Linked DNA regions of Cricetulus griseus. The protein of the gene in region 7 interacts with the protein of the main gene of each other region in a pairwise test. Links are inferred from orthologs where the notes say so. Each region holds a gene or a part of one and is shown on either strand. Other genes may lie near its edges.

Evidence for each region.
Region 1: the proteins of Rgs2 (region 7) and Wdr74 interact in a two-hybrid assay, tested with the Homo sapiens proteins (2 studies listed by BioGRID and IntAct). The link is inferred for Cricetulus griseus from reciprocal best matches to the Homo sapiens genes RGS2 and WDR74.
Region 2: the proteins of Rgs2 (region 7) and Ddr1 interact in a two-hybrid assay, tested with the Homo sapiens proteins (2 studies listed by BioGRID and IntAct). The link is inferred for Cricetulus griseus from reciprocal best matches to the Homo sapiens genes RGS2 and DDR1.
Region 3: the proteins of Rgs2 (region 7) and Lrfn1 interact in a two-hybrid assay, tested with the Homo sapiens proteins (2 studies listed by BioGRID and IntAct). The link is inferred for Cricetulus griseus from reciprocal best matches to the Homo sapiens genes RGS2 and LRFN1.
Region 4: the proteins of Rgs2 (region 7) and Nipsnap1 interact in a two-hybrid assay, tested with the Homo sapiens proteins (2 studies listed by BioGRID and IntAct). The link is inferred for Cricetulus griseus from reciprocal best matches to the Homo sapiens genes RGS2 and NIPSNAP1.
Region 5: the proteins of Rgs2 (region 7) and Git1 interact in a two-hybrid assay, tested with the Homo sapiens proteins (2 studies listed by BioGRID and IntAct). The link is inferred for Cricetulus griseus from reciprocal best matches to the Homo sapiens genes RGS2 and GIT1.
Region 6: the proteins of Rgs2 (region 7) and Ctsb interact in a two-hybrid assay, tested with the Homo sapiens proteins (2 studies listed by BioGRID and IntAct). The link is inferred for Cricetulus griseus from reciprocal best matches to the Homo sapiens genes RGS2 and CTSB.

Annotation. Positions count from the first base shown.
Region 1 is NC_048596.1:51,361,998-51,366,214, forward strand, and holds the start of Wdr74 (WD repeat-containing protein 74), read right to left. Parts: upstream 2,801-4,217; 5' UTR 2,727-2,800; coding exon 2,663-2,726; intron 2,591-2,662; coding exon 2,484-2,590; intron 2,406-2,483; coding exon 2,284-2,405; intron 856-2,283; coding exon 780-855; intron 662-779; coding exon 515-661; intron 359-514; coding exon 257-358; intron 1-256. UniProt on the Homo sapiens protein: Regulatory protein of the MTREX-exosome complex involved in the synthesis of the 60S ribosomal subunit. Participates in an early cleavage of the pre-rRNA processing pathway in cooperation with NVL.
Region 2 is NW_023276806.1:229,602,478-229,606,540, forward strand, and holds the start of Ddr1 (epithelial discoidin domain-containing receptor 1), read right to left. Parts: upstream 2,801-4,063; 5' UTR 2,652-2,800; exon of another isoform or gene 2,554-2,651; intron 1,226-2,553; exon of another isoform or gene 1,058-1,225; intron 1-1,057. UniProt on the Homo sapiens protein: Tyrosine kinase that functions as a cell surface receptor for fibrillar collagen and regulates cell attachment to the extracellular matrix, remodeling of the extracellular matrix, cell migration, differentiation, survival and cell proliferation.
Region 3 is NC_048602.1:7,422,623-7,426,658, forward strand, and holds the start of Lrfn1 (leucine-rich repeat and fibronectin type III domain-containing protein 1), read right to left. Parts: upstream 2,801-4,036; coding exon 1,395-2,800; intron 1-1,394. UniProt on the Homo sapiens protein: Promotes neurite outgrowth in hippocampal neurons. Involved in the regulation and maintenance of excitatory synapses. Induces the clustering of excitatory postsynaptic proteins, including DLG4, DLGAP1, GRIA1 and GRIN1.
Region 4 is NW_023276807.1:100,030,907-100,035,088, forward strand, and holds the start of Nipsnap1 (protein NipSnap homolog 1), read right to left. Parts: upstream 2,801-4,182; 5' UTR 2,758-2,800; coding exon 2,660-2,757; intron 1-2,659.
Region 5 is NC_048600.1:90,901,566-90,905,065, reverse strand, and holds part of Git1 (ARF GTPase-activating protein GIT1), read right to left. Parts: intron 2,568-3,500; coding exon 2,434-2,567; intron 2,029-2,433; coding exon 1,916-2,028; intron 1,808-1,915; coding exon 1,702-1,807; intron 1,200-1,701; coding exon 982-1,199; intron 901-981; coding exon 806-900; intron 466-805; coding exon 423-465; intron 1-422. UniProt on the Homo sapiens protein: GTPase-activating protein for ADP ribosylation factor family members, including ARF1.
Region 6 is NW_023276807.1:218,157,996-218,162,140, forward strand, and holds the start of Ctsb (cathepsin B), read left to right. Parts: upstream 1-1,345; 5' UTR 1,346-1,476; intron 1,477-4,145. UniProt on the Homo sapiens protein: Thiol protease which is believed to participate in intracellular degradation and turnover of proteins. Cleaves matrix extracellular phosphoglycoprotein MEPE. Involved in the solubilization of cross-linked TG/thyroglobulin in the thyroid follicle lumen.
Region 7 is NC_048598.1:46,447,474-46,451,512, forward strand, and holds the start of Rgs2 (regulator of G-protein signaling 2), read left to right. Parts: upstream 1-1,239; 5' UTR 1,240-1,288; coding exon 1,289-1,398; intron 1,399-2,411; coding exon 2,412-2,513; intron 2,514-2,621; coding exon 2,622-2,683; intron 2,684-3,258; coding exon 3,259-3,425; intron 3,426-3,682; coding exon 3,683-3,877; 3' UTR 3,878-4,039. UniProt on the Homo sapiens protein: Regulates G protein-coupled receptor signaling cascades. Inhibits signal transduction by increasing the GTPase activity of G protein alpha subunits, thereby driving them into their inactive GDP-bound form.

The DNA.
Region 1 (4,217 bases), on a different chromosome or scaffold from region 7:
AGGAATGCTCCCTTTGTTTTACCTTCTAGGTAGGAGAAATAGAAAATCATAGTCCAGGAAATTCTATCCTAGAATGCAGTAAAGGGAATGTCATTGGCACAGCCATGGTCCTGACCAGCTGAGGAAGTATGAGCTCCTTTGAGAGCCCAGGGGAGATGATGTTGAAACACCAGAGAACCAACCCATTCTGCCAGGTGACACAGTTTTCCCTAGGAAGCTGTTTCAATCCAGGAGTAAGTTAGCAAAAGAGCCTCACCTGGTGGTACCCTGTGCATGTGACAAGCTTCTGTGACCCAGGGAGGAACTGTATATCCTGGTCCCAAATAGGAACCCGTAGATCCAGCCAATCATTCCTCACCTGGTGTGGAGGTACATATGGGATACAAGATGTTGGTAAGCTTGACCTGCTCCTTCAGTCCTCCACATCCCGAAAGCCCATCTAGGCCACAACCAGTCAGTGGCCTCCACTTCTCCCAACCTCAGACAAAGCATCCCCCTACCCCTTATCACTTACATTCTTTGCCCTGAACACAGGCTGCTCAGGCTTCTGTAGGTCCCATACTTTCAAAGCATTCTCTTTCCCACATGTGGCAACCACATGGCTATGTGCTGGGTCTTGGCGCATCCTACACACCCCAGGACCCACCTTCAGTTCCAAGAGCTGTAAATAATCAGAGATGAGTCAGTCCAAGAGTCCTTAACCTTCCACCTACCAAATTCCCCATTAGACCCCTACCCTGGCTCCCACCATCTCCAACCACTAGGGCAGTGAACCTTACTGGGTCAGATGATGCTTCCTTGTCATTGTCACACCAGACTCTAAGAATCCCAGAATCCACACATGTGATAAGGGTTCTGCAATCACAGGAGGGATTTTAAAATGTGTAAACCAGGTTTAGTGGTCCATACCTACCAGTAAAGGGCATGGAAGTAAAGTGGGGACCAGGAATTCAAAGTCAGACTGAGCTACATATTGAGTTCAAGGCTACCTTGAAACAAACAAACAGAAAAAACAAACCCAAACCAAAATGACATAAACCTCTTGCCAAGAAACCTAAACCTTTTCCCAGGCTCTGGATAGCCTGAACCTATGTTCTCCCTCACATCTGCCTATCTAGATTTAAGCTCTATATTGCCTGTGCTGTGCCAAAAAGCATTTTTAATACTCCTTACTCCTACAGGCTCAGAGTTCGCTCAGTCCATGGCACTTCCCTTTCAAAACCCAATATACTCTCCATTAACTATGAAATAAAATCTCAACTTGGTACAAAAGCCCTTTCCATTTAATCCTAACCAAATGCAAATCAAACTTACATGTATGTTTCCTTGACTTCAACTTCCAAACGCTATTTGTCCTATGTACAAAGCCTTTTTAGTCTTTTAACCCTTAGTCTCTGCTCAGTTAGTATCTGCTTTTTAGAATATCTTTATCTCTTCTCTATCAAGATTATTCCTGTACTTCAAGACCCAGTTCAAAACTCCATCCTCAGCCGGGCATTGGTGGCGCACACCTTTAATCCCAGCACTTGGGAGGCAGAGGCCGGCGGATCTCTGTGAGTTCAAGGCCAGCCTGGTCTACAGAGCGAGTGCCAGGATAGGCTCCAAAAGCTACACAGAGAAACCCTGTCCTGGGGAAAAAAAAAAAAAAACAACTCCATCTGCTGCATATCCTTTCTGGGTTCACTTGTTGAATTACCAAAGCAGCCTTCTCTCGTCTTCCATCTAGAGAAGCTGCTCCTAGGTTACTAATCTAGGTGAATCTTCCTTCTGAGCCATTACTTTAGAAGCTACACTTTTGTCAACCACTACTTAAAAGCATGCTCAAAAGTGTGGAATTACTTGCACAGAACGTTATAAAGGAGCCAGCGCCGAGCGGTGGTGGTACATGCCTTTAATCCCAGCACTCGGGAGGCAGAGGCAGGTGGATCTCTGTGAGTTCGAGACCAGCCTGGTCTACAAGAGCTAGTTCCAGGACAGCCTCCAAAGCCACAGAGAAACCGTGTCTCGAAAACCGACCCACACCTCCCCCCAAAAAAACAACAAAACTCTTGGAAGCAAACTCTATGAAGACCCATATTTTACCCAAATCCTTGTACTCTTCCTTGATACCTGGCATTCAGAAACTTCCAGATAAATGCATGTTATAGGAATGAAGGAAAGCAAGAACACTGTTTGCAATCAGTCTTCCCAGAGGCTAATCATCTAAGGGCTTAACTTCAGTATTCAGTTCGCCCAAGGGAGCCTCAACGATCTTCCTGTGACCTGAGCTAGAATAGTCCTTACCCATCGGCCTGGGCGAGACCTCGGAACGTGCCCTCCCCGCCTGGGCAGTGTCTCTGGCTCTGGAATGTACCCTCCTCGGTGTTAAAGTGCCTCACGGTCATGTCCGCGCAGCCCACCAAGATCTGCCAGCGAGAAGGAAAGGATAGGAGAAGAGCAAGGCTGCAGGGCCCGTTTCCTAGCTCGGGCCGGGGGCCACTCACCTGGGTCTCGTCACCCGCGCGCCAGCACAGAGCATTCACCGCCTCCTCCCGCCGCGGCTGTCCGGATGGCGTGAAGTTTGTTGCATGTCTCCGCTGAAGGTTCACCCCTAATGGAGGAGGACGTCAGTCACGCTGGGGTGACACGCAGTCCCTACACTTTCGGAGAACAACTCACTCACCTTTTAGGATCCCAGTATCGGTGCCGACCCACACATGGTTCCCTCGCGAAGAGGCGGCCGCCATCGCAGACTAGCCTATGGCTCGTACTTCCGGCGCGCCACCAACTGCATCATCAGGGGGCGCCGTATTCAATTTTGACAGCACGGAGCAGGTCTGTCTGTCTGTCTGTCTGTCTGTCTGTCTGTCTGTCTGTCTGTCTGTCTGTCTGTCTGGTGTGTGTCTGTCTCTCTGAGTCTGTCTGTCTGTGTGGTGTGTGTCTGTCTCTCTGAGTCAGTCTGTCTGTCTCTCCCGCTCTCTCGTTTCACGCCTTCCTATCTTCCTATACCCCCATTCCTCCCACTCCTTAATAAGGCCTTTCATCTTTCCTCTCAGCACTCCGGAGGCAAAAGGCAGGTGTATCTCTGTGGGTTCCAGGCCAGCTAGGGTTACACAGTGAGACCCTGTCTCAAAAACAAACAACAACAAAAAAATTAAAATGCGGAGGAGCACTGGTGTTATTAACCCTAAGATTTCACAATCTCTTTAGATACAGCTCAGGTCCGCTTATTTTTTTTAACCCATGAACCCACTTTGTAATCTAGGTGGGCCTTGATTTTATAGTCTTGACTCAGCCTCACAGTGGCTGAGAATTACAGGCTAGTTTCAAACATGCTCAGCTTGGACAGCGCCATTTCTGGAAGCTGAAATGTAGGAACCACTAAACTCTGCCAGCCCCACCTTGTTTTAGTTTTATGGAAACAAAGGAACAGTCCAGGAGTGTTTATGGAGAACTGAGAAGGAAGGATCATTTTGTGCTCTCTGAGAAAAGCCACCCTTTCTAAACTGCAATGCTGGCTGGGTGGAGTCTGCTCTCATTGGCCAAGTCTGGCAGCCCCCACCCTGTTTGAGGGGAAATTCCAAACACAAAAATTAACTGTGCCAGTTGGTGGTGGCACACGCCTTTAATCCCTGCACTCTGGAGGCAGAGGCAGGTGGATCTCTGAGGTCTAGGCCAGGCTGGTCTACAGAGATAGTTCTAGGACACCAGGGCTACACAGAGAAACCCTGCCTTGGAAAAAAAAAATGGATTAACAGTACAGGAGATTTAAGCATTGGAAACATTGAAGTGTGGCATCTGTGTTCAGTCAGAGCCTCCTGGAAGATTGCCTTTATCATTCATTCCCTCCCTCTGCTTCCTTCTGCCTGGATCCCCAACTTTGTTATTAGTTTGATATAACAAAGGGCTCATTCTGTAAACTATGCTGGGTCTCGAGGTCCTACTTCACTGCCTCTCCCTCCCCTGTGTTCTCATGGTTCAGCATTCTTTACAAGTAAAGTACTCTCAAAATAGACAAGTCCCTGCCACACTCTGAAACCCAAATTGAAGCGATTTTTTCCCAACAACTCGAAGCCTGCCTGTATGCAAGTGCTATCAAATCCTGGCTAAGAAAGATCTTTAGTCCCTATTTCCTCAGAAACTATGTTAATATAACTAAATTGGAAACCTAGTTCTAACCCTTAACCTGGGTTAGACATAAAGTCTTGTCATTGTGTCAAAGCCAGTTTTGAGGCTAA
Region 2 (4,063 bases), on a different chromosome or scaffold from region 7:
GGAGGAGGGGTTGGTTAGTTGGAGGGATTTTTGTTGGTCTCACTATGTAGCCTGGGTGGGCCTGGAACTAGCTATATAGACCAGAACAGCCTTGAACTCATGGGGTGCCACCTGCCTCTCCTTGAGTGCTGGGATGAAAATCATGTTCCTCTATAGCAGGATGGCCGATTTTTTGAGACAAGGTCTCAACTAGTTCAAGTCTCCAAACTCACTATGATGCCAAGGGAGGCTGACCTTTAACCCTTGATCCTGCTGCCTCCACCTTTCAGGTGTGTGATTACAGGTGTGTGTCACACACCCTGAGGTGACAAATAAAGCTAGATCTCAGCATTTAGTGAGTTGCCACCTCTAGACACCTGTTTAATACTAAATGGCAGGCAATGTGAATCCCACTCAGGCCCTGGGGTGCAGGATCCCCAGAGAACTGCCCCTCCCAAACCCACATGGGTGACTAAGCCAGAGGGAAGCCAAGAGCAGGTGGGGACAGGTGGGACTGGGGTGGGGAGAGCAGCAAGAAGGGCAAGGCCATTTCTCCACTTTCTCACGCATTCTACTGTGACCTGTCCCTATGGTGCCACTGGGGTCTGGACACACCTCCATCCTTCTCAGCCAGTCAGTTCCAGGCCAGCCGGGCGTGGCTGGGAGAAGGTGCTGGGCAGGAATTCCAGGCCAGAAGGGGACCCTAGGAGCGTTGCTCATTGGGCGGTGACTTGTCTCTTGGCACAACCCGGCAACCACCGAGCGTGGCTGGTCTGGTAGGTTGGGCGTCAGGCTGGCTCCCTGTGGCGGGGCAGCTTAACAGAGCATGCTCGTAGGCACGGCCCAGGGAGCACCGATAGGATGACTCAGTGGGCTACATAAGCGCACCTGTCCTCTGGGGGCTCGGCTCTCCCCTCACCCAGGAAAAGACAGATCCTTCCCTACGAGAAGATACTTTTTCGGAAAGTCAGGGCCCTTTCTGTTTCAGATGGGGAATCAAAACCCCAAGGCGGCGCACAGAGCTGAGTCTCCCCAACCCGCGCCCCCTGCCTCCTGTGCTTCCCCACCTCGTCCCTACCTCTCATCGCTCTCCGGGGCCGACTCAAGCGTCCGGCCCCGGCTTGGGGCCTCCTCGGCGGCGGGACGCGGGAGGGGAGCGCAGGCGCCGGCGGGGCTCGGGTGTCGGGAGGCGGCTCCCGCGAGCAGCTGTCGGAGGCCTGTTCCGGGGAGAGGAGCCAGCGCGGGGCCGGATCGCCCCAGGCGCCGCCTCCCCGCGCCTGTCCCCGCCCGTCCTCCCGCCCGGCGCCCGCGCCCCACGCCCGCGCCGCCCCTCGTTTCTCTCCTAGCGCGCGGAGCCCGCCCCGCATGTTACCCCAGCCTCCCCTAGGTGATCCGCACGCCCATCCCCCGCCGCCCCGAGGCTACGGTACAGTAGGGGACCGGTTGCAGCCCTCCCAGGACCCCCAAGCGGTGGCCCCGCGAGGAGATGGCGCGTTCCCTCCTCCCCCTTTTCTGGGCTCGGGTCCTGGAGAGAGGGAGAGAAGCACGGAGGAGCAGCCCCAGGGCACGCAGGAAGCAGCGGGTTCCCACAGGCCCAGCTCGGGAGCGAGAGCTAGGCCTGTGGGAACCGGGCTCACCTGTCTAGCCAGCCCCGCTTGGCTCTCACTCCTCCCCACTTTGCTACATTTTGGCACAGGCCCGCTCCCCGGCTCCCAACCTAGATTACTCCCGAGCCTGAGGACGGGCCACACTCTTTTATTCTCTACTTTTTTCTGTCCCCTTCCTCTAGAACCCCTCCCCAACTGCAGCTCCCTTCTCTTCTCTCAGGAGCCCTGAGGTCCACACTCCCAGCTCTGGGTCCCCCTGGGCTCCCTGCTCCATCCAGACTCGCTCTGGAGTCCTCCTCAGGCAAGCCTTCTTCAGTTCCCAGCCAGCTCAGTCCCTGGTGGGAGCCGCAGAATCTGGTTTCTGGCAAGGAGAGACGCAAAATGGAGCCAGGACGCGGTGGGGGTGGAGGAGAAAGATAGAGAGGCGCCCTGGAAATCACAAGCCGCCCAAAAAGACGGGAACGCAAGACCCAGGGACGTAAGAAAACAACGAACAGAGCTGCTAAGCCACGGAAGGGAGAGATGGTGGAGGCGGGGGGGGGGCGGGGCGACCGCCGAGCTTGTGTGGGAGGTGTTCTGTCCCCATTCAGCACCACCTGTCAGCCCTACCTCTCTCCACACCCCCACACCTGCCAAGTCCCCGGACAATGTCAGGTCACAGTAAAGTCTCCAGCAACCTCGCCGGTCTCACCACCCTGTTGCACCTCCCAACTGACTCAAAACTCACACCCAAAAGCATTTCCAAAGAGTGTAAAGAAAAAACAGACAAGAACAGAAAAAGCTACCAGGAAGATAAGCGGCCACTAGGGAGAAGCCAAGGCAGGCTGGGTCTCCAGTTTACAAACCCAGGGACGCTCCAGCTGCTGAAGGACCTGCTAATAGCCCCCATGGTCACTGGAAGAATTGCCTCCAGCCTGTCCACCGAGCCCTTAGGGACCCCCCCCCCCACCCGCCCGCAATTACCTACCCCTCTGCAGACAGCAATAGGAAATCTGGGCCCTGCAGAGACTGGGCGGGGTGTGGAGTCCGCCTGGAGGTGGGGCCAAGGCTTCCCAGTAACCTCACCTGCAACGGCACACAGCCCCTCCTCCCAGGAGAGATGCTCCGGGGAAGCCCCGGACAGGCGGAGCTTCAACTCCTCACACCCCGTTGGGACATTGCACGCCCTAGACTCGCACTGACTAGTGAAGGGTCCATGGGAGATGTGGAGGAAGCCAGAGTCTTGAAGCCTCTGCCCCCTTTTCACTCTCCCAGGGAAAATTCCTAGTCGGTGATGCCCACCTCGCCCCAGACCAGGGCTGGAGAAGTAGGAGGGACACGGGGCTGGGGCCCAGCGGAGTCAAGTGACAACAGAAAAGGAGCTGGAGCCGGCTGGAATGTGCTGCTTGGAGCCCAGATTCCCAGGGGCCAGAGAGGGAAATCCCAGCCATTCAGGGGCCTACAGAGCTGAGCCAAGAACCGAGAGTGTGCCGGTCTGTGGCTCCCCGAGCCCCCTGCTCCTTTCTCTCACCACTCACAACTCCAGAAGCCCCCATTATACCCTAGAACCCTGGAGGGTATAGAACTGGACCGTTTTTTCCCCCTGCAAGCCCAGGAAGAGGGGAAACAGCTGGGGCGGGGGGGGGGATGTGAAGAGAGGCACGCAGGAGAAACAGGCCTGCAGACCACCCGCCACTGCAGGGAAGCAGGGCAGGAGGAGTGAAAGGAGGGTGGACCAGATGGGCCCACCCTCGCTGCCCTCGACACACACTAGCCACAGTCCTTGCCCTGAGATGCAGCTGCCTCTGGGGAAGTAGGTTGGGTCAGCAGCTGGGGAGAGTGGGACGCCTCTGGTGCGTGTGTGTGTGTGTGGGGGGGGGTGACGGGTAGGGAGCTGGAAAAGACCCTGGTCATAGTTCAAATGGGAAACTGAGGCCTGTAGTGTGATGACAAAAAAAGGAAGATAATTCTAGGACATCCAAAACATAAATCTAGGACAGAAAAATTAGACACATTAGCCGTGGATAGTCTGGGAGAGGGACCCAGAAGGGATGGAGAACCAGGGGAGAGAGGCTGGTGGTCACGGAGAGACACAACTGACTCCAGGGAGAGGAGTCAGACAGATGGCACCAAAGTGATAGGTGGAGGCACAGGGAGGAGAAAGGATTGAATGGAGCGGGGAGCGGACACAGAAGGAAAGCAAACGTTTGGGACGGCAACTGGAATGGAGGAAACAGAGAGTGGGGAGGTTGGAATGAAACTAAGATATGGGGAGGGTAGAGACCGAGACATGGAGTTTGAAAGGGAGGAGGAAAGGAGGGAGGAAGAAAGAAAGAAGATGGGGGGCAGACTTAGAAAGGAAAGACAACCACAAGATTGATGGAAGGCCCAGAGATAGAATTGAGCCCATCTCCAGGCTGCTGGCCACCAAAGCCCCGCCTGCCTGCCAGCTGGCCAACCTGTTTTGGCACAAGGCTTCCATCCTTCTCCCTCCTACC
Region 3 (4,036 bases), on a different chromosome or scaffold from region 7:
GTGGTCCTGAGTTATGTAAGAAAGCAGACAAAACACACCATGGAGAGGAAGCCAGGAAGCAACACTATTCCATGGCCTCTGTTTCAGTCCCTTCATCCTGGTTCCTGCCTTGAATTCCTTATCTGACTTCCTTCATTGATGGTCTGTGACCTTAGAGGTATAAAATAAACCCTTTCCTCCCCAAATTGCTTTTGGTCAGAGTGGGGCTTTTTGTTTGGTTTTGGTTTTGGTGGTCATAGTGTTTTTTGTTTTGTTTTGCTGTTCTTGCTTTGGGACAAAGTTTCTCTGTGTAACTCTGGCTGGGTCTGAAACTCCCTCCATAGACCAGGCTGGCCTCAAACTCAGGCATCTACCTGCCTCTGCCTCCTAAGTGCTGGGATTAAAGGCGTGGCATGGCTTGGTCACAGTGTTTATCACAGTGATAGAAATCAAACTAGAACATTACATTTCTATTTTTCCCATGCTTTTTTGCTTTGTTTCTATAATCTATCCAATTGGAATAGTAGTATTGACATAAATAGAAATGTAACTATAAACACATGTGTTTTATGTGCCACAATGTTTAATTGATGGGATTCATGAACAGAGGCCTCTGGAGTGCAAGTGATGCGTTTAACCATGAACCCTGTGGGGTATTTGTTGTTTGGGACTGGGAATGGAACTCAGTGCCTCCCTCAGCTTAGCAAGTACTCTACCACAGAGCCACGCCCCCCAGCCCCTCACTGGGGGATTCTAGGCAGGGACTCTACCACAGAGCCACGCCCCCCAGCCCCTCACTGGGGGATTCTAGGCAGGGGCTCTACCACTGAGCCACGCCCCCAGCCCCTCACTGGGGGATCCTAGGCAGGGGCTCCACCACTGAGCCACACCCCCAGCCCCTCACTGGGGGATTCTAGGCAGGGGCTCTACCACTGAGCCACACCTCCAGCTCCTCACTGGGGAATTCTAGGCAGGGGCACTACCACTGAGCCATGCCCCCAGCTCCTCACTGGAGGGTTATAGGCAGGGGCTCTATCTTACTATAACTGGGATCCACCTCCAGCCCTCTTTTTTCCACTTTCTAAATTTTGAGACAGAGTGTCTCCAAACTGTCCAGGCCAGCCTTGTCCTTGCAATCCTCCTGCCTCGGCTTCCCAAAGGCTAGGATCTCAAGCCTGAAGCACCAGGCCCTACTCAGTTTTATAACTCCATTGCCCAGCCCTTCACTGGCTCATGTTGTGTTGCACAAACTTCTAAGCTCAAGAAAAACACAGCAGAGCAGAAAAGAAGGAGGTATCCACAGGCCTATCCAAAGCCGCATCTAAGCAAGGTCAAGGGGATGGACGAGCAGATGGGACAGAGGGCAGGATGCTAGGGCTGGAGAGGAGTTCCTGGGGCTTCAGTAGCGCACTCACCTGTAGACTAGAGAGTCATCCGCAGAGCTGTTGTATTGCACTTGGTACATGCGGATGCCAGGCACTGGCCTCTGGGCCGGCCAGCGAATGAGCACAGAGCTGGACGTGAGTTCGGCAGCCACAAGCCGGCGTTCAGTGGCTGAGTCGTTGGCACCAGGTCTGCCTGGTGTGGCGATGTCGGAAGAACCAGGCTCAGTGAGAGGCGGCGGAGCAGCCGGCGGGGGCGCCATGAGTGGCAGAGGTACCACGCAAACCTCCACCGGTGCAGTGGCTTCCCCCGCAGCATTGGAGGCTATGCAGGTGAAGGTACCGCTGTCCCTTAGGGTGGTGATGGTCACATCCAGCGTTCCGTCCCCACGGACCCGGGTCCGGCTGGAGTTCCCCAGCAGCCGCCCATCAGGTGCCACCCAGTGCACCACGGGCTCAGGGTCACCCACCGCCCGGCAGCGCAGACTGACAGCCTGGCCCTCCACTACCAGGGCCTTGCCCCCTGCCTGCCGCGTGATGAGCGGGGGCTCACATAGAAATTCCTCCTCCGGGATGGACCAGAAGTAGCGGTCAGTGAGATGCTCAGGAGTGGCGCATGTCTCCAAGTCATCCTCCCTGGTCAGACGCCGTAGCCAGAGCAGCTCGCAGTTGCAGTGCAGCGGATTGCCACCAAAGCTGACGGTCAGGGGGGTGGGCGGCTTGGGCCCCCCACCCTGGGACCTCAGGAAGAGCCCGTCGGGGGGCAGTTTATGCAGACGGTTAGAGGTCATGTCTAAGCGTACAAGTTTATGCAGCTGCACGAAGGTGCCCTCGGCAATGTGATCAATGAGGTTGTGGTCGAGCGTGAGGGTGTTCAGATTGACCATCTGACCCACCGCCTCCCACGGCAGTGCCTCCAGGTTGTTGTAGGACAGATCCAGGTCCTCCACAGTGGACAGAAAGGCGTCAAAAGCTGCCGACTCCACCTTCCGGATCTGATTGTTGCCGAGGATCAAGTGGCGGAGGTTACCCAAGCCCCGGAGCTGGTCCCCACGCACCTCTGCCAGGCGGTTGCTATCGAGGTGCAGGGCCCGGAGAGCACGGAGGTCAGCAAAGGCGCCGGGTGCCACCTGACCAATAGTGTTGCGAGACAGGGTGAGGTGGACCAGGCTGGTCATGTTGGCGAAGTCTCGACGACGCACAGCGGCAATGAAGTTGTCGGTGAGCCGCAGCTCGACCACACGCCTGTCGATGGCGGGCGGCACGAAGAGCAGGCCGGTCTTGGCACACAGCATGGTCAGCGTAGGTGCCACGTTCTGGCAGATGCAGCGACCAGGGCAGGGTTGGCCGCGAGATGCCCCTGCCCAGAGCAGCAGCAAAAAAGGGAGAGCAGCAGGTGGTGGCGAGAAGAGCCCAGAGGAGAAGGGGCCTGGAGCCATGGTGCAGCGGGGAGGCAGGAGAAGCAGGAGTTGAGACCTGGAGGGGAGGAAAATAGTCAACTATTATGGCTTGGTCCCCACCCCTGCAACCCAGGGATGTGCTGCTGAAAGTCAATTTGGATCCTTTAACTCCCAGTGAACGAGCTCTGGACAACAGACTTCAAAACAGCTGGCACCAACGGCCATCTTTTCCTTCTTTCCTTTCTTTCTTTCTTTCTTTCTTTCTTTCTTTCTTTCTTTCTTTCTTTCTTTCTCTTTCTTTCTTTCTTCTTTTTTTTTTTTGAGACAAGGTCTCACTATATAGCCTGGGCTGACCTGAACTCACTCTGTAAACCAGGTTAGCATCAAACTCACACAGATCAGCCTGCCTCTGCCTCGGGAGAGCTAGGATTAAAGGCCTGGGACACCACCTGGCCTTTCTTCTTCTGAGACAAAGTATCACTGTATCCCTGGTTGGCTTTGAATTCAGTATCCTCCTGTGTCTGCCTTTTAAATGCTAGGATTACAGATCTGGGCCAAAATACCCAGATCTGATTACAAAATTCCCATAGTAATTGGCAAATCACCCCTGCTGTTATTCTGAAGTCTTCTACCCTCCCACCTGTCAAGCTTCTAGGAGCTCCCCAATTGCCCATGACCTCCCAGCCCACCAGATATTCTGGAATCACTGTTGGCTGGAATTTAGGACCAAGGATGTCAAACACACACTCTTAGTTTGAATTCCAGCTATGACACTTACTAGCTGTGTGACCTTGGGCACGAGTCTGAACCTCTCTGAATCTCGGTTTCTTCATCTGTAAAATGGAGAGAAGAAACATGCTTTTGGTGAAGACTATGTACACTCATGAGCACAGCTTTTAGAACAGCATCTGCCACATACAATATTCGAAGTTTAACACATAATAAAAATTATTAGCTGCAACCCCAGTGGTGCCTAATACATTCTAAGTACAGAACTATGTGCATTATGGTAAGAGTGAGTGCTTTCATTTTTTGTTATTGTTGTTTTCCGAGACAGGGTTTCTCTGTGGCTTTGGATCCTGTTCTGGAATTAGCTCTTGTAGATCAGGTTGGTCTCGAACTCACAGAGAGCCTCGGCCTCTGCCTCTCGAGTGTTGGGATCAAAGGCGTGCACCACCACCGCCCAGCGAGTGCTTTCATTTTAAATATTATTAATATTGTGTATGAGAGGCAGGGTCAGAGGACAACTTGGTGGGACTGGTTCTTTCATTCCTC
Region 4 (4,182 bases), on a different chromosome or scaffold from region 7:
GTGACCTCTGGGTGTTTGCCACATAAAAGATCCTACCACCCACTGACTGTTCCTTTCTCAGCCTTAGTATCTTCATTCATCTGGAAAACATGGTCTCCTAAAAGATGATCTTGTGCCAGGCAGTGGTGGCCCACGCCTTTAATCCCAGCACTCTGGAGGCAGAGGCAGTCTACAGAGTTCCAGGACAGCCTCCAAAGCAATGGGAAGGAGGGGGAGATGATCTGTAGGCTGGACACACTTGGTGTGTCCAGAGAACGCACTGAACATGGGAAGAGGGGGGAGGGAGCTACGAGAATGAGAAGGGAAGAAGAGGAAGGATGCAGAGGTCATGAGGAAGCAGAAAGGTGGAGTCAGGTGAAGATTAGAAGAAAGGACATATTATAGGAAGGATTTTAGTTGGGGGGGTTGTAGAAGAGGAAGGGAGGGAGAAGGGAACTGGGATTGTCATGTAATTCAATCTTGTTTGTAACTCAAATATATGAAAAATAATAATAAAAAAGAGAACTTGCTGTTCTTGTAGAGGGCCCAAGTTTGGTTTCCAAGACCATATCAGTAGAGCAGCTCACAACTGCCAAAGGATTTAACTCCTTTCTCTGGCCTCAGTGGGCACCTGCATATATGTGCACATTTTCATTCTCTCTCCCTTCTACACAAACATAAATAAAAGTAAATCTCCTTAAAGAAAAAACATAGATGATCTTGATTTAGTGAGATGTAAAGGCACCTGCTACCAAGACTGACAACCTGAGTTAGATGCCTGGAAGCCACACAGTGATCTCCATACGTGTCATAGTATGGGCACATGGACACACACACACACACACACACACACACACACACACACACACACACACACGCACTCGAATACCAGTGTTCATTTGCATATGCACACAAAATAATTTTAAAATTATGTTATGTGTGGGTGTTTTGCCTGTGTGTGTGTGTGTGTGTGTGTGTGTGTGTGTGCGCAAGCACCACTTGCACACCTGGCACCTGTGAAGGCCAGAAGAGGGCATCAGGTCCCCTGGAAGTAGAGTTGCAGACAACTGTAAGTGGTCATGTGTGTGAGCTGTGACCCAAGTGCTCAGAAAGAGCAACCATTGTAGAGTCATCTCTCTAACCTCCCAAATAATTTTTTGTTTATTTTTGAGCGACGTGGTCTCTCTATGTAGTCCTAACTGTCCATAAACCGGGCTGGCCTCCAACTCAGAGATCCACCTGCCTCTGCTGCCCCAGTGCTGGAATTAAAGGCATGCACCACCACTGCCCGGCTCAAACTAATTTTTTAATGTAATAAAATATTATTTTCCTGGATACCCTTTCGACTCTCACAATGACAGAAACTGCTTGAGGCATAGTCTTGGGCAATTGGTAACACAAGCATGGCTTCTTCAATCCTCAACAATCCAATGAGGTCTGGAGGTATTATGGTTTAATTGGTAGGAAGAGCACTAGCCTAGCATACCTGAGCTCCTGGATTCTTTTCCTAGCAACACAGAACAATCCTATCTGACACATCCTCTTTCCTCCTACCCAAGGCCATCCCTCCACAAAAGGCTGTTTAAAAGGTACACTCCAGGCTCATTTCCCAGTGTCAGCTTCTCCCTCTTTATCAAGCATGGAGGTGAAGGGCATATGTCCAACTCCGATATCTCAGCTTTCCAAAAGTCCCAGTTCACAGTGATCTAAACGGACCCTAAGGCTTCACTCCTGGGCAGAGGCAGGAGGAGTACAGATTCCTTTCCACAGGTGTGAGAACAGGTGGTCTCACTTCTTTAGCAAATGCTCTTTGAACTTACAATGTTCTCAAACCAGTGAGGGTGTGGGGCTGTGCAAACAGGAGAACGACTAGGGAAGGACAGGTTAGCACAGGGTCAGAAGTGCTCAGGGTGACCAGTGCAGAGACAGGGGTAGCACAAGGCACTGCAGGAGGGAGGAGCAGCCCAGAGCCAGTCAGGGGAAGCCAAGCCCTCCACAGCCAGAGCTGAGCCTCTCTCCTAGGAGGCCACCAGCGGTGGTGCAAAGTGCAAGGTGCATCATGAGACCTGGGTCCTACATCCAGAGCAGCCTCCACATGGCTTGGAGGCTGACCTTGAACAACTCTCACCCCTTCTGTTGACCCCACAATACAGTGCAGGGTGAGGAATCACCTTGGGAATTCCCTCTGTACCCCAGTCTTTCTCTCCTTCCTCCTAGAACTTCCTGAGGGAGGAGCTGCCTGGCCTTGAAAGCCCCCAGTGCGCGCTAAATCACAAAGGCCAGACCTGAGGGCAGCTACCTCTGTCCTCTGCCTTCTCCCCCGCTCCAGTGCTTAAAACCTGTCCCTCCCACTCACCTCATTTTTTATTCTCAGCCCAGACCCAGGTCCCAAATAGGACAAAGAACCTGCCCAGCAAGGCATGGGTATGCACGCCAGTAATATCTAGGAGGTCGAAGAAAGGGAATTCCGAGTTTGAATCACTTACAGTGTGAGCCTGTTTAAAAAACAAAATCCTACCCAGATCTTTTCACCTCCCTCATCCTTTCTCAGACTCCTCAGGCCTACATCCTGGCAGCTCCTCCACTAACCCCTGAATTCCAAACCCAAGAGCCTGCTCTTCATCCCAGCCCCCTCCCCGCCCCTGTTCCGGACACGCGGTCGGCCCCGTCGGCCTCTCACCGCACAGCAGCCGCAGCAGCGAGGTCCCCAGCGCGGGGTCCCGGCTTCCCCAGCAGCCGCCGTGCCGATGCAGAGATGATGCACAACCGCGGAGCCATGTTGGACCGGAGCAGGTCGGAGGAAGGCCACGCCCCAGCCCAGTGCAAGGTGGCGGAGCTAGAGAAAACCACGCCTTCGCCCCGCCAGCCTTCCTTTCAAGCACAGCCAGATGGGAGTCCTCCAAATCCTTAGACGAAAAATCTGTGTCCACATCTCTGCGCTCCCGGACCTCTGCAGTTAACTGGCTCCGTTCCCTTGAACAGCCCTTTCCCCACTCTGTACCTCAGAATTCACCTAGGTAAATGCGGGCGTCGAACAATAAGTCCTGAACATTCGGAGGACAAACTAAAGAGGGTCTGCATACCCCCAAAATTGTATACAAATTATGTGTGCCTGTCAGTTCCCTTCCTACTAGGGCACTAGGGGGTGGAACCCAGGATTTCACTCGTGGCTAGGCAAATGCTCTGCCTTAACTGCTGCTCCACCATGATGGTCATGGACTCCAACCTTCTGGAACTCTTCTAAAAGTTGCCTTAATCGTGGGTCTCATTGCAGGAATATAGTTAGAAAAGTAACTAAGACAAACTGTGATTCTTTTTCCCCTTGGATTTTTTGTTTTGTATTGTTTTGTTTCGTTTAGTTTCTTTTTTTAAAGATTTGTTTATTAACTCTACAGTGTTCTGCCTGCATGTATGCCTGCAGGCCAAAAGAGGGCACCAGATCTCATTATAAATGGTTGTCAGCCATCATATGGTTAGTTGCTGGGAGTTGAACTCAGGACCTCTGGAAGAGCAGCCAGTGCTCTTTAACCGCTGAGCCATCTCTCTAGCCCTTGGTTTTGTTTTTTGTTTTGTTTTGTTTTGTTTGTTTGTTTGTTTGGTTGGTTGGTTGGTTGGTTTGGTTTGGTTTTAATGGTTTTTCAAGGCAGGGTTTCTCTGAGTAACAGTCCTGGCTGTCCTGGAACTTACTTTGTATACCAGGCTGGCCTCAAAGTCACTGAGATCCACCTGCCTCTGTCACCAAAGTGCTGGATTAAAGGCATGCACCACCCTCCTTGAATTTTTTTTTAAATGCAAAAAAAAATTATTTAGCCAGGCAGTTTTCTATGGAATAATCCTTCTGTGCTCTATGTAAATTAAACTGTGATTGGTTTAATAAAGAAGCTAGACTGGCCAATAGCTAGACAGGATAAGGTTAGGCAGGAAAACCAGAGTAAGGACATTGGGAAGAAGAAGGGCAGAGTCAGAGGTGTCGCCAGTGAGACACAGAGAAAACAGGAGGTACAAGATGAAAGAGAGGTAATGCCACATGGCAGAATGTAAATTGATAAAAATGGGTTAATTTAAATTGTAAGAGTTAGTTAGTAATAAGCCTGAGCTATCGGCTGAGCATTTATAGTTAATATTGAGTTTCTATGTTAGTTATTTGGGAACTGGCAAGTAGGAAAGAAAAGTCTGCCTACAGTGGTTGGCAGCACATGCCTG
Region 5 (3,500 bases), on a different chromosome or scaffold from region 7:
TTACTACCCTGCCTGGGATTCCCATCCAGTTGGGAGCACACTGGGGGCCTGGCTAGTAGTCCCAAAGTCAGCCAGTTCCCCGGAGCTATCTTCTCCCTGCAGAGGGAATCCTTTATCCAAAGTGACACAGAAGTCCAAACGCAGTGGTCCAACCTAGTCAGGCCTTCTTTCCTTGTACCAACCCCCGCCCTCCAATACTTAGTAACCACAAGGCTCAGGTGCACTGGTGTGTGTTGAACCGACATTTCTCACCTGCCTTGGGGGTATACAGTAGGTGGCAACTAGGCTATGAATTTCTGTGTTGCTAGTCACTATGTGTATAGGGTGGGGTGCCAAGCCACTGAAGCCTGGGAAGATGTAGGGCTCTGGGTCAAGCCACCTTGACATCTAATAGCTGAAAGGGGCATCAGGTGGGCACTCACCTGTCAGCCATCTGTGGGATGATGTAATGCCCATTCTTGTGATCTGAACAAAAATAAAAATGCCAAGTCACTGATGCCAGGTGGCGCCAGCACCCAGGAGCTTACCTCACTACCATGAGCAGGGTTTGACACCTGGAAGTGTCAGAGGAAATGGAGGAGGGCAGGATACCCCAAGAGCATTGAAAACTGGCTGCAAGTCAGGCCCACCCCCACTCCTTGGCCCCAACATGCTTGCAGCAACCCAGAGCCTGCAGCAATTTCACAGGAGCCAGTTGCCTAGCAACACAGTTCCCCAGCTGGCTTTGTCACTATGGCACCTGCTCCTGGGTGTGCCTAGGTCCCACCTGCCTGGCCTAGTCAGGCCCAACTCATTCTCTGCTCACCGGGCTTGCGTCCACAGAGGTAGAAGGCCAACCGGTCAGTGAGCTCATACTGGCACTCAACTAGCCTTTCTGCCAGTTCATGGTGCCCCGCCTGCCTGTGGGGAGGGACATGGCTCAGCCCTACAGCAACAGTCCATTCCTCTCCACCTAAGCCTCACCCTTTAACTGATTCTCACCTGGCATAGTCGATTGGCGTGCGGCCATTGACATCAGGGGAGCCGGGGTCAGCCCCATACACCACCAGCAGTTCAGCCTGCAGTGTCTGCCCCGCCTTGGCAGCCACATGTAGAGGTGTAGTGCCCTTTTCTGGGTGAAAGAAGTTGGCCTGGGCACCCAGGGAAAGCAGGCGAAGACATGTCTCCAAGTTGCCTGTTCGCACACTGGAGTGCAGTTGCTGCAAGGAGCAGTGTGTGGTTAAGTGGGAGTGAGTGTGATGGATACTTGTGAGTGTCCGAGGAACCTCCCCCACACACCTGGCTGTTCCTGGTACTCCTACCAGCTCCAAGGGGCCTCGACAAAACTGGGCCATGTCAGGCAGGCTAGAGGGTAATGTCATTAACAGTTACTCCCAGTCACTACCCTTCATGTGCTCTGCTTGGAACACACAGAAACTAGAGGCAGGTGTGTTACTACTATCCCATTTCACTGATGAGGAAATAAAGGCTCCGAACAGCTAAGCGAGTACCCCAAGTTTTCCTAGCTTCAAGTCGTAGACGGGAGGCCCTATGTCTGTCCACGTGAGAGTGGAGGTATCTTAGCCACCAGCTGCATGACAGAGCAAACTTCCCTAGCCCCAGGGTGTCTGCACCTACTTTTTTCCCCAGCCCTGGGTTGCCTCTGGGACTTGAATATGGAAAGAGGGGTGGCCCACCCATCTGTTGAGGGGCTCCTCACACCTTGCTGAGGTCTTTGGCAGTGACGCCATCATCATCGCGGCAGGGAAGCTTGTGCACAAACGCCAGCATTTGGTACTTGGCCCTGATGAACTCTGATTTGATGGGGCTGCATGGAACACACAGGAGGCCATGGGAGCGGAGCTTAGGACAACCACCATTCAGGCCCCTGTCCCAGAAACACGGCCCTGCCCACCACCCCTGCAGCCCCACTCACTGGACTTTGTCTTGGGGGTTGGCTTTACGCCGGCCACTTTGCACTTGTGCAGGGTCCAGCAGGGAGTGCTCCCAGATGGAGTTGGCCCCGTTGCTGGCAAGCGTGTGCACCATCTGTGGGGAAGAGATGCCAAGCAAAAGAGTGCCCACTCTGTGCTGGGCACTAGGGGAGACATTCCCAGAGTGCCTGCTGCAGCTGGAGATACCACCAAAGGTCCTACTGTGTGCCTGCTATGGCTGCCCTCTATCCAGTCAGGCCACCCAAAGTCATGTGTCCTGTGTTTAGCACTTCATGCTGGCTTACCCTGGTGGGTTTGCCAAGGTTCAGAGAGTTTCAGCAACTTGCTCAATGCACTGTCTAAGATAAGCATCCAAGCTAATGAATAGACACTACAGGGGAAGGGGTGAGTGGAAAGGTTGAGGGTCATACTACTTTAAGTGGCTACTGTCTGACAGGAAGAGGGTTGGGGATACCTGGGCACTGCACACTGGGAAGGAGTCTCTGGTTTAATCCCCTACCTGTAGCAGTGTAGGAGGCCAGGCGCTGTGGCGAAGGTGCTTGACAATGGAGATGTGTCGTCCCAGGCTCCGATGCACACTGCAGCACTCGTCACAGACCAGCACACCTCTGCTGATAGATGCCCAGCCAGGATCTGGGGGAGCAGAGTAGGAAAGTCAGCTGAAGCCACAGGACAGGCACTACTTCCTAAGCAGCTGCTCTGGCCTGGCATATGCTTAGTGCTTCAGGTACATTCACTCAATCTGCTCAGGAGCCCAGAAGCTGGCTACGAGCCCTTTCCTGTAAGTCCTTGCACCTTCCTGGGTATGCATGGTCCCCAAGGATTCTCAGTGGGTACAGTGTCCTGTCTCACAGCCACTGCTACCAGTTTCACAGCCTCTCCTCAGGAATCAAGACTGCTGCCTAGCCATTCCACAGGGAGGCAGAAGTCTCCTATGGGATATGACCCTGACGCCGTGTATCACACAGTCCTGGGTATGTTCCTGTTGGACCCCATCCGACAGACTGGTTCCTACCCCTACTCTGACACAGTTGGAGTTTCCAGCTTCATGCCACCATCAACTGTGGGCTGCAGCCTTAAGGACAGACTGAGCAATGGAACTAACCTTGGCTGAGGTTTCACTATTTACTGGCCAAGTATTTTGCTCACAATTCCTTTCACAAGTGCTATCTTGCTCTACTGATGAGGATTCAGTGGCTCAGAGAGGTCAAAGGGCTTGCTCAAGGTCACACAGCTAATAAGCACAGCTGCTGGGATGCTGGAGGCAGGTACTTCAATGCCAGACCAGGCCAAGCCTAAACTTGCTGCCCTCTGCCCCTGCAGTCTCAGGACCAGCCTGGGAAGCCATTCTCCAGTGAGGACAAGTGGGTAGGAGCTCCTGGTCCTCAAGGGTAGTAGAGATGCTACCACCCCAAGCCCCTCTGGAGAAGGGGAGGAGAAAGCACACACAGCTCAGGCCACAGAAAGGAAAGGTCATGGGGGAGAAAGCGGCCATTGTGTGCTGTCCAGAGTGGGGGCAGGGAGCTGCTCTCCCAGGACACTCTGCTCTGCCCAGGCCCCCACCCA
Region 6 (4,145 bases), on a different chromosome or scaffold from region 7:
CCTGGGCAGCAGAAGGGTCCTAGTGGGATTGCATTGAGCTTCACTGCCTGGGGGTTAATGGGGCTTTAGTGGACGGAGGAAGGGCAGAAGATGGGCTGGTCAGCCCAGTTTTCATTCCAGGTGTTGAGGTCATTGAATTTTGCCCTCAATATGGTTTCCAGGAAAGAGGTATGCCTTTGGGGGAAAAAAAAAAGGTGGAGAGCCTCTTCTTGGCGTCTCCAGCCTCTGGCCACAGTAAAACCAGAGACACTTTTGGCTTGGACATTTCAAGCATCCCTAGCCTCTGGCAAGGATAAGGATCTGGACATGCCCCAGGACATTTTTGGCTTTTAGCCAAGAAAGACTTTTTTATTTGGGCTTTTTACCAAAACTAAACTGCCTAGCCAGCTTTCACCTGTTATCAGCAGTTGGGACAGCTTTCTTTCCTACCTTTCCCACAAGTTTCCTGAGTTCCTCGGCCATCCCACTCACCTGGAGTTCAGTAACCATACTTCCACTCCTGTCTTTAACTTGGAGACTACCAGCAGAGCCTTGACGCGTGGCTTTCTTATAGTCACAGCCTGGGTATAAAATACCATGATGTTGTGCTCGATTCGGCAGCACATATACTAAAATTGGAATGGTACAGAGATTTGAATGGCCCCTGCACAAGGATGACATGCAAATTCATGAAGCATTCCATATTTTAAAAAAGAATGATGTCATGGGGCATTCCTATTACTTGGTAGACATAAGGATTGGAGAGATCTGAGGGTGGCTGAAGGAGACCCTGGGGTGGGGCGATGCTATTCCTTGTCAGAACAAATAGGACTATTTTTTGTTGGCTAGCCTACCAATGGGGAAGGTTCCTACATGGGACTGATGGCCTGGCAGGAGTTTGGAATTTCATAACATGCCTTGGACAAGAGTTCAAGGTTTGTTTTTGTTTTGTTTTGTTTTTTTTACCAGGACCTTGGGCTTGGTAGGAAAGAGCTCTACCCTGGGCTACAGCCCCAGTCCAGTTCTAGTTTTAATTACCTTCCTTGGTCTGAGTATTCCTAAGGCTAAGCACTAAACCAGGGTGCTGCGAGCTTCATGAGGCCAGGAGTGCTCCATTGGGACGCCAGCCATTTCCAGGTCCCGGATTCCGCATGGCCTTTCCGATGAATGCAGTAGGCGATGTCACTTCTTCCCGGTGCAAGGTTCTCGCGGGTTCCCTGGAGAGCATCTCCGGTCCGGTGAAGAGATAACACAGACTATCGGCTTCTTCCGGAATCCAGCTGCGCGATATGGACCTAGGATAAGCAGTTTAGGGAGTCCCAGGACGAAGGGGTGGGGCCGGCGACGTCGCGGGGTGGGGGCGCGGCCGATGGGTCACGTGGCGAATCAGCCCAGTAGCGGGCGGAGCTGCAAGGGTACTTAGTGGTGCGCTCCAGAGGCCAGGAGCGGCTCGGTTCGGCTCGGCGGCTGCAGGCCCAGGCTGTAGCGCTGCGCTCGGTAAGTGTGCCCGGGGCGCTTTGGTTCCGCGACGGAAGTCACCTTGGCTGGGGACGGGGAACGGGCAGTGGCGAAAGGCCCCTCGCTCGCCCAAGGCGCAGGCGCGGTTATTCCTCGGCCCTGGATGCTACGCGCCGAGAATGGTCGCGGTCCGCGGGGAGAGGATTCCTGAGTCCGGCCGCTGCAGGCGAACAGCCCCGGCGGCCTGCACGCACTTAGGGCCGGGCCTGGGGACCTCGCGCGGGTCGGCGTCCCTCCGGTGGCCTTGGCGCACTCCAAAGGCGGAGCTGGGGACTTCGGGGAGCTCTGAGGGAGGAGCCTGCAGGGAAGGGTTCGGCCCTGGCTCTCCTTCCAGCTTGCAAGCTCCGGGTCTTAGTGGTGCTCAGAGCGAGTATCGACCTGCATCTAGTGAAGGTTTGTGTCTTAGTCTAAAGAATCTGCCCCGGCAACTTACCACACATAAGCCCACGCAGTCCCTGGCACCCTAAAAGACCGGTCCTATTGAAAACAGAAACAGAAAACAGTGGGTGGCTGGGATGGAACCTGCACGAAGAGTTAAACCGAGAAACAGGAAGAGAAGCGAGTGCAGTAGAGGATAGGGGTGCTCGGGGCTGCACTCCCTTTCTCTGCATGGGGGTGGCCAAGACGATGGGAATGTGGAGGGGGGGAGGAACATGCAGGACAAGCTCCTTCAGTGAGGGTCTTGCTGGCCCGGAAGCGATGTGGGGTCGGTCTGCACCGGCAGGACTTGCGGACCAGGAGACGGGTGATTTGGTCTTGGTCCTCTAGGGGTCTGGAGTAAAGGACTAAGCCCACCCTCACGTTACTTCCGTCTGACCAGATTCCCTCACCCGTTTGCAAGGGAAATAGATTGTGCGGTTCAAAAGGAAGCTTAACACTTGGTGTCCGAGTGCCGAGGGTTAGGGTTATCAGGCCAGATTCAGAAGGGTAGCATGTGGAGAACGTTGCTGAAGGTGCTCTCATCCTCCCTCGAAGCCGTTCGGGGGGAGAATTGCTTCTCATAGGTTCTGGCCATGGTGACCTAAAACTCCAGAGTTCCCAGAGACACACCAGAGCCAGCACTTGGAAGGCTGAAGCAGGAGGATCCCTGTGCATTGGAAACTAGCCTGGGCTACATAATAAATTCCAGGGCAGTCTGACTATAGAGTGAGACTGTTTGCCCTCCCAACTTTTTCTCCCAAAAAAGGACATGCTGGGAAAAAGGCAGCATGGAGGAAAATGACCTCTGCTCCTTTAAAAGCACGTGAGCCAGGCCTGTAGGGATCAACTGCTAGGGGCTAGGGGTGGAAGGTGGGCTAGTGTTTGTGCTTCACCAGCCCAGGTGGCTTCAGAGGCTTCCAGCTCAAGTTAACACTATTTCAGATTAGTCAGGCAGAGGAGGTAGGAGCTCTTGGCTCCAGGCTGGAACTGCCCGGTGAAGTGCTGATTCAGCAGTCCAGGTTGAGACTCTCTGTGGTATGGGTGGAAACCTTTAGATGTCAGAGCCTCAGGTTGGCCGACTGACTTTTTGATGGTCTGTTGTAAGGAAAATATTAGGTATGTGTGAGGTTGAACTATATGCAATGGAACTTTTGAAAGTCAGAAAGGAAACCAGAGACTTGCATGTGAATGATATGATTGATGAGAGATGGTGGGCTAGCAAAGGTGAGGTGTACAAAAGTCTGTGTTGTCTTTGCTTGGCTAGTAGTTTATATCCCCAGTCCATCATCTCAGTGCTCTCTAGGAGCTGCCTAAGAAAGGGTGGAGTCCTTTTCATTGCTGTAGTTTATATTCCACCCTACTTTGAGCATGGTGGAAGTTTGGCTTGGTTGTATGCTGGAACTGTCTGGTTTATCTGTGGTGCTGAAATCCAACCCTGGGCCTTGTGCGTGCTAATCATACACTCTGCCCCTAGACTATACTGTACCCAGCCAGCTTTAGCCAGTCTCTTCCCTCCTCCATCCCTCTGAGCTTTCAAAACAGGTCGCTTGAAATGGGCAGTCCTGCCTCCGCCCTCCCACATGCTAGGGTTACAGACATGAGCTATCACTCCTGGGTTAGTACTTTTTTTTTTTTTTTTTTTTTTTTTTTTTAAATAGGTCTCATCACTCACTGTGTAGTCCTGGCGAGCTTGGAACTGGGTATGTAGACCAGGATGGCTCAAGCATGAAGGAATGCACAAACTCACAGATAAACCTGCCTGTGCCTCACCAGTGCTGGGATTAAAGGTGTAGGCCACCATTCCCAGAAATCCCTTCATTTTTAGCTTCAAGTCTGAACTCTCCTTTCTGCAGACCTGACCAGGCTCAGGTTTGGGATAGAGGTGTGTGGCTCCACTCTGACAGGACATGTTTCACTGTGATCAGTTTGGCTCCTAGACTTGCTTTGTCTTTCACAAGGACTTTAGCAACTAACTGTTCTTTCCTTATTCTTTCCTACGTGTGCTTGAAATACAATGTATCGATCTGTAAGTGTTGTTTTATGTAACTTAATTATACTATGTGTCTTGTTCACCCAGTTGATGAGATTTGCTGATGTTGATGCCTGCAGATTTAATGTTTAATTTGTTGGAGAGGAGTGGCAGTGTGACAAGAGGTCTCGTGTAGCCTAGCTTAAACTCACCAGGTAGGTGAGGATTAGTTTGAACTCTTGATACTCCTGCCTACCTC
Region 7 (4,039 bases):
ATTCAAACCTGGAGCTCAGCTACCCGCAGCTTGTAGCAATGTATTGCCTCGTTCCAGTTTGAGGAATGTGCCTCTATTTTTCTTTTAGTAAGGTCTAGTGTGAAGCAGAATGACCATAACTTCGTTGTTAATCTATCTGCCCTGACTTCATGGGAAAACCACTTAGGTATTCCGCCGCATCACTCCCGTAACATAGGAAGCTGAATCAGTTTGTAGTTGAAGTCATGTATTTGTTCTTACAGATCAGGGCATTTTAAAACCTGCGGGAGTAGAGATGGGTTTCTGAAGAACTGACAAATGAAGCTTGTCCAAGCAAACTTTACACCTCCCGACTCTCACATCCAGCTCTAGCCTCACACCCCCACCCCTTAATTTAAGCAGGTGAATATCTGGCAAATTCTAAGCCTGCCCAACTAAGAATGACTCATTAGGAAATCCTGATTCCTTACACTCGGAAACTACAAACGATCCGAGTGTATCAGAACCGCAAGATCTCGGGTTTCCCTTTGTGTTTCTCTCTATCACTCAGATCTGTGCCGTGCCCGCCTAGAGACGCCCTTCAGATCTCCTGGGGAATGACCCTGCAACGTCACAGCCTTCTGCAGCCAGGCGTTTAAAGATCAAAAATGCAGAATCATTTAAAACACCGGGTTTTAATAGGCACTTTCTCCTTCTTCCTCCCTGACCAGCGTGCGTTCCCATAAGGAATTCCAAGATGCCTGAGCGAACAGAGAATCACAGTACTTAGCTCAGAAGCCCTTGTTTCGGGTTTCTCTAGTTGTTTAAGTCCTTCCCCGAAATAGGTGGAGTGTGGGTGGGGCGGTAGGGCTCTCCCCCTGCCCGCTGCAGTGTATAGGTGTCCCGGTGCATCTAAAAGATCGTGAACAAAGCATGAGTTGCAAAGGCGGGGCTCGAAAAAAGATAAAAGGAAAGGAAAAGGTACGGCCTTAAGGAAAAGTCACGAACTCGGGAACCCTGCACGGCTGGGGCCACCCGAACAAGCGAGCAGGGATCCCGCGCTGTCCCCGCCCTCCGCCTCCCCGCCTGTGTGCGCACGAGGCTGCGGCACCTACGTCAGCAGCGCCCTGGCTTCCAGACCCTTCGGCTGCCGCCGTGACTGCCGCAGGCCCGTGCGACCCCTCCCTCGCGCCGTCTGCAGCGGGCCAATCCGCACCCTCGAAAGGCGGAGCCGACGCCTCCGGGCCCCGCCCCTGTTCCGCAGCCGGCCTTAAAAGACCGCGGCGCGCGCCCGGCTGCAAACAGCTGCGGTGGCCGCCGGAGTCTTAGTATGCAAAGTGCCATGTTCCTGGCTGTCCAGCACGACTGCGTACCCATGGACAAGAGCGCAGGCAACGGCCCCAAGGTCGAGGAGAAGCGGGAGAAAATGAAGCGGACGCTGTGAGTATGCCCTCTCTTCCTGAGAGCTCTTACCCCGCATGGCTTTGCTGCTCGGGACCGACCTTCCTTCCATCTCGGCTTTGACTTGAGCTAACTCCGGTCTGCACCTCTGCAGAGAAAGCGGGGGGGCGGGGGGAAGAAAGAAGGAAAAGTCAGCTTGCTAGATCTCGTGGTTGTGCTTTTTTCTGTGTGAGCGTAGAGTTTCAACTATGGGAAGTTGTTAGGAAGGTGGCGGCGGTAGCTGGGCTGAGAAGGCGATGGCTGGCTTTTTGTTCTGCATGTAAGGTGACATGAGTATTCTGCAGCTGAATAGGATCCGCAGCGCCCATACATTGCATTGTGAGGTCTGAGCTGCTTACACAGCTGCTGGGTAATGTTTGGGATGATTCCGAATGTATTCGCTTTAGATACGGTTTTAAATCATAAAATAGGTCTCATCCAGTCACGACTGTGGAATGAGTAATTTGCTCTGCAGTATCTGCTGCGGAGAAGCACTGTGGGAGGTCGCGGAGGGGGAGCTCGGGACACACACACACACACACACACACACACACACACACACACACACACTCACACACCACACACCACACACACACACACACCCCACACACACACACCACACACACACACCCCTCTATGCACCGCCTGTATCTTGGACCAGACCCTCCTGCCTCTAGCACAGAAAGGGAAGGAACATCAGCTGGCTCAACACACGGCAGTTCTCAATCATTAATTGTCTCCAAGTTGTAGTTAACCATGCAGAAAAACCGCTACCTTTTTCGTAGGTCAGAAATAACTTGTGAAAATTTTAAATATCCTAGCTGTGTTATGTAGTCCTATGCTGGGTTCAATCCATGAGGTGCTGGGTTTAAATATCCCACATATGGCATGGACTGTTCTTGCCTGTCTGGTTTGTTTGGTGACTGACCATATGCTACTGCAACTGGTGATAATTTCACTATTCAAGAATTGCAGCTTGAAGTATTTTTTTCCTCTCCTTTTTTCTTTTCTAGCTTGAAGGATTGGAAGACCCGTTTGAGCTACTTCTTGCAAAATTCCTCCACTCCTGGGAAACCCAAAACTGGCAAGAAAAGCAAACAGCAAACTTTTATCAAGTAAGTTGCAACTCCTGTACTTGCAGAACAGAATGTCTAGCCATTGAACAGGAGAGGGGAACTATTATGTGTGGTTTATATAGCTCATGTTCGGAACTTCTCTTGCAGGCCTTCTCCTGAGGAAGCGCTGCTCTGGGCAGAAGCATTCGATGAACTGCTGGCCAGTAAATGTAAGTTAACCTCTTGAATTTGATCTTTCACCAGCATCCCAAGAGCCTAGAAATGTTGTGTCTACACCACAAATGAGCAGCTAGCAGGAAGTGCATCAGACATTAGCACCATTTACTTCATAAAGCCTGCTTTTCTTTCCCCTCGTCCTCCAGTTTAATCATGGAAAAGCATGAGGTATTCACTTCAGGAATAAAGTTAGCCTAACTTGTGAAAGTTAGGAAGAAAAATTAGCCTAAAAATTAAAACGACTTACTCATAGTTAGGGTTGAGTCAGCTTTTCCATTGCATAGAATATTTTCAAAAGCCCTAGTTCCCAGAGAACTAATGGATGACTGTCCTCTAAATATTTATTTTGCATTGACGGTGAAGTTCAGTATATTTTGTTGTCGTCGTTGCAGAATGCAAAGTTAAGCATTTTGCCTGCTGGCATCTTAGTGCTTAAAGAGCTAAAGTGTGAGAATGACAGGTTTGAGTGAAATCTAGAAAGCTGATCGATCATTCTAGTACTAAAAGAACCATGTGTTATCTGGTCACTCAATTTACATTCTACATGCTTGTTTTCCTGTGCTTTCAGATGGGCTTGCTGCATTCAGGGCGTTTTTAAAATCTGAGTTCTGTGAAGAAAATATTGAATTCTGGTTGGCTTGTGAAGACTTCAAAAAAACCAAGTCACCCCAAAAACTGTCCTCCAAAGCAAGAAAAATATATACTGACTTCATAGAAAAGGAAGCTCCCAAAGAGGTAAGAAAACAAGTTATTGGTGTCAGCATAATTTGGACATCTTCAACCCCATAGTGAAGCACAAGAATTGGATACACCAGTTAAAGTGCCAGTGGGAAGAGCTGGGGCTCCCCACCCCAGCTATCCTAGCATTTCAGTTTTTCCAATCTGACAGTGAGAACTGATCACATATTACATCTTTTGTGTTTTGTTATTAAGCATTGATTTATAATGTTGGATACCAAATAAATCAAGCTTTGTTTTATTTTTGGTTTCAGATAAACATAGACTTTCAAACAAAAACGCTGATTGCCCAAAATATCCAAGAGGCTACAAGTGGCTGTTTTACAACAGCCCAGAAGAGGGTATACAGCTTGATGGAGAACAATTCTTACCCTCGCTTCTTGGAGTCAGAATTCTACCAGGACTTGTGTAAAAAGCCACAGATCACCACGGAGCCCCATGCTACATGAGGCCAGGAGCCCCCAACAGAGGACATTTCATTGTCTCCCAAGACGAAAAGGCTGTGACCTGCCAAAAGACTGACCTTGAATTCAGCCTGGGTGTTAGGAAACATCACTCAGAACTATTGATTCAAAGTTGGGTAGTGGATCAGAAAGCCAGCAACCTAGGAC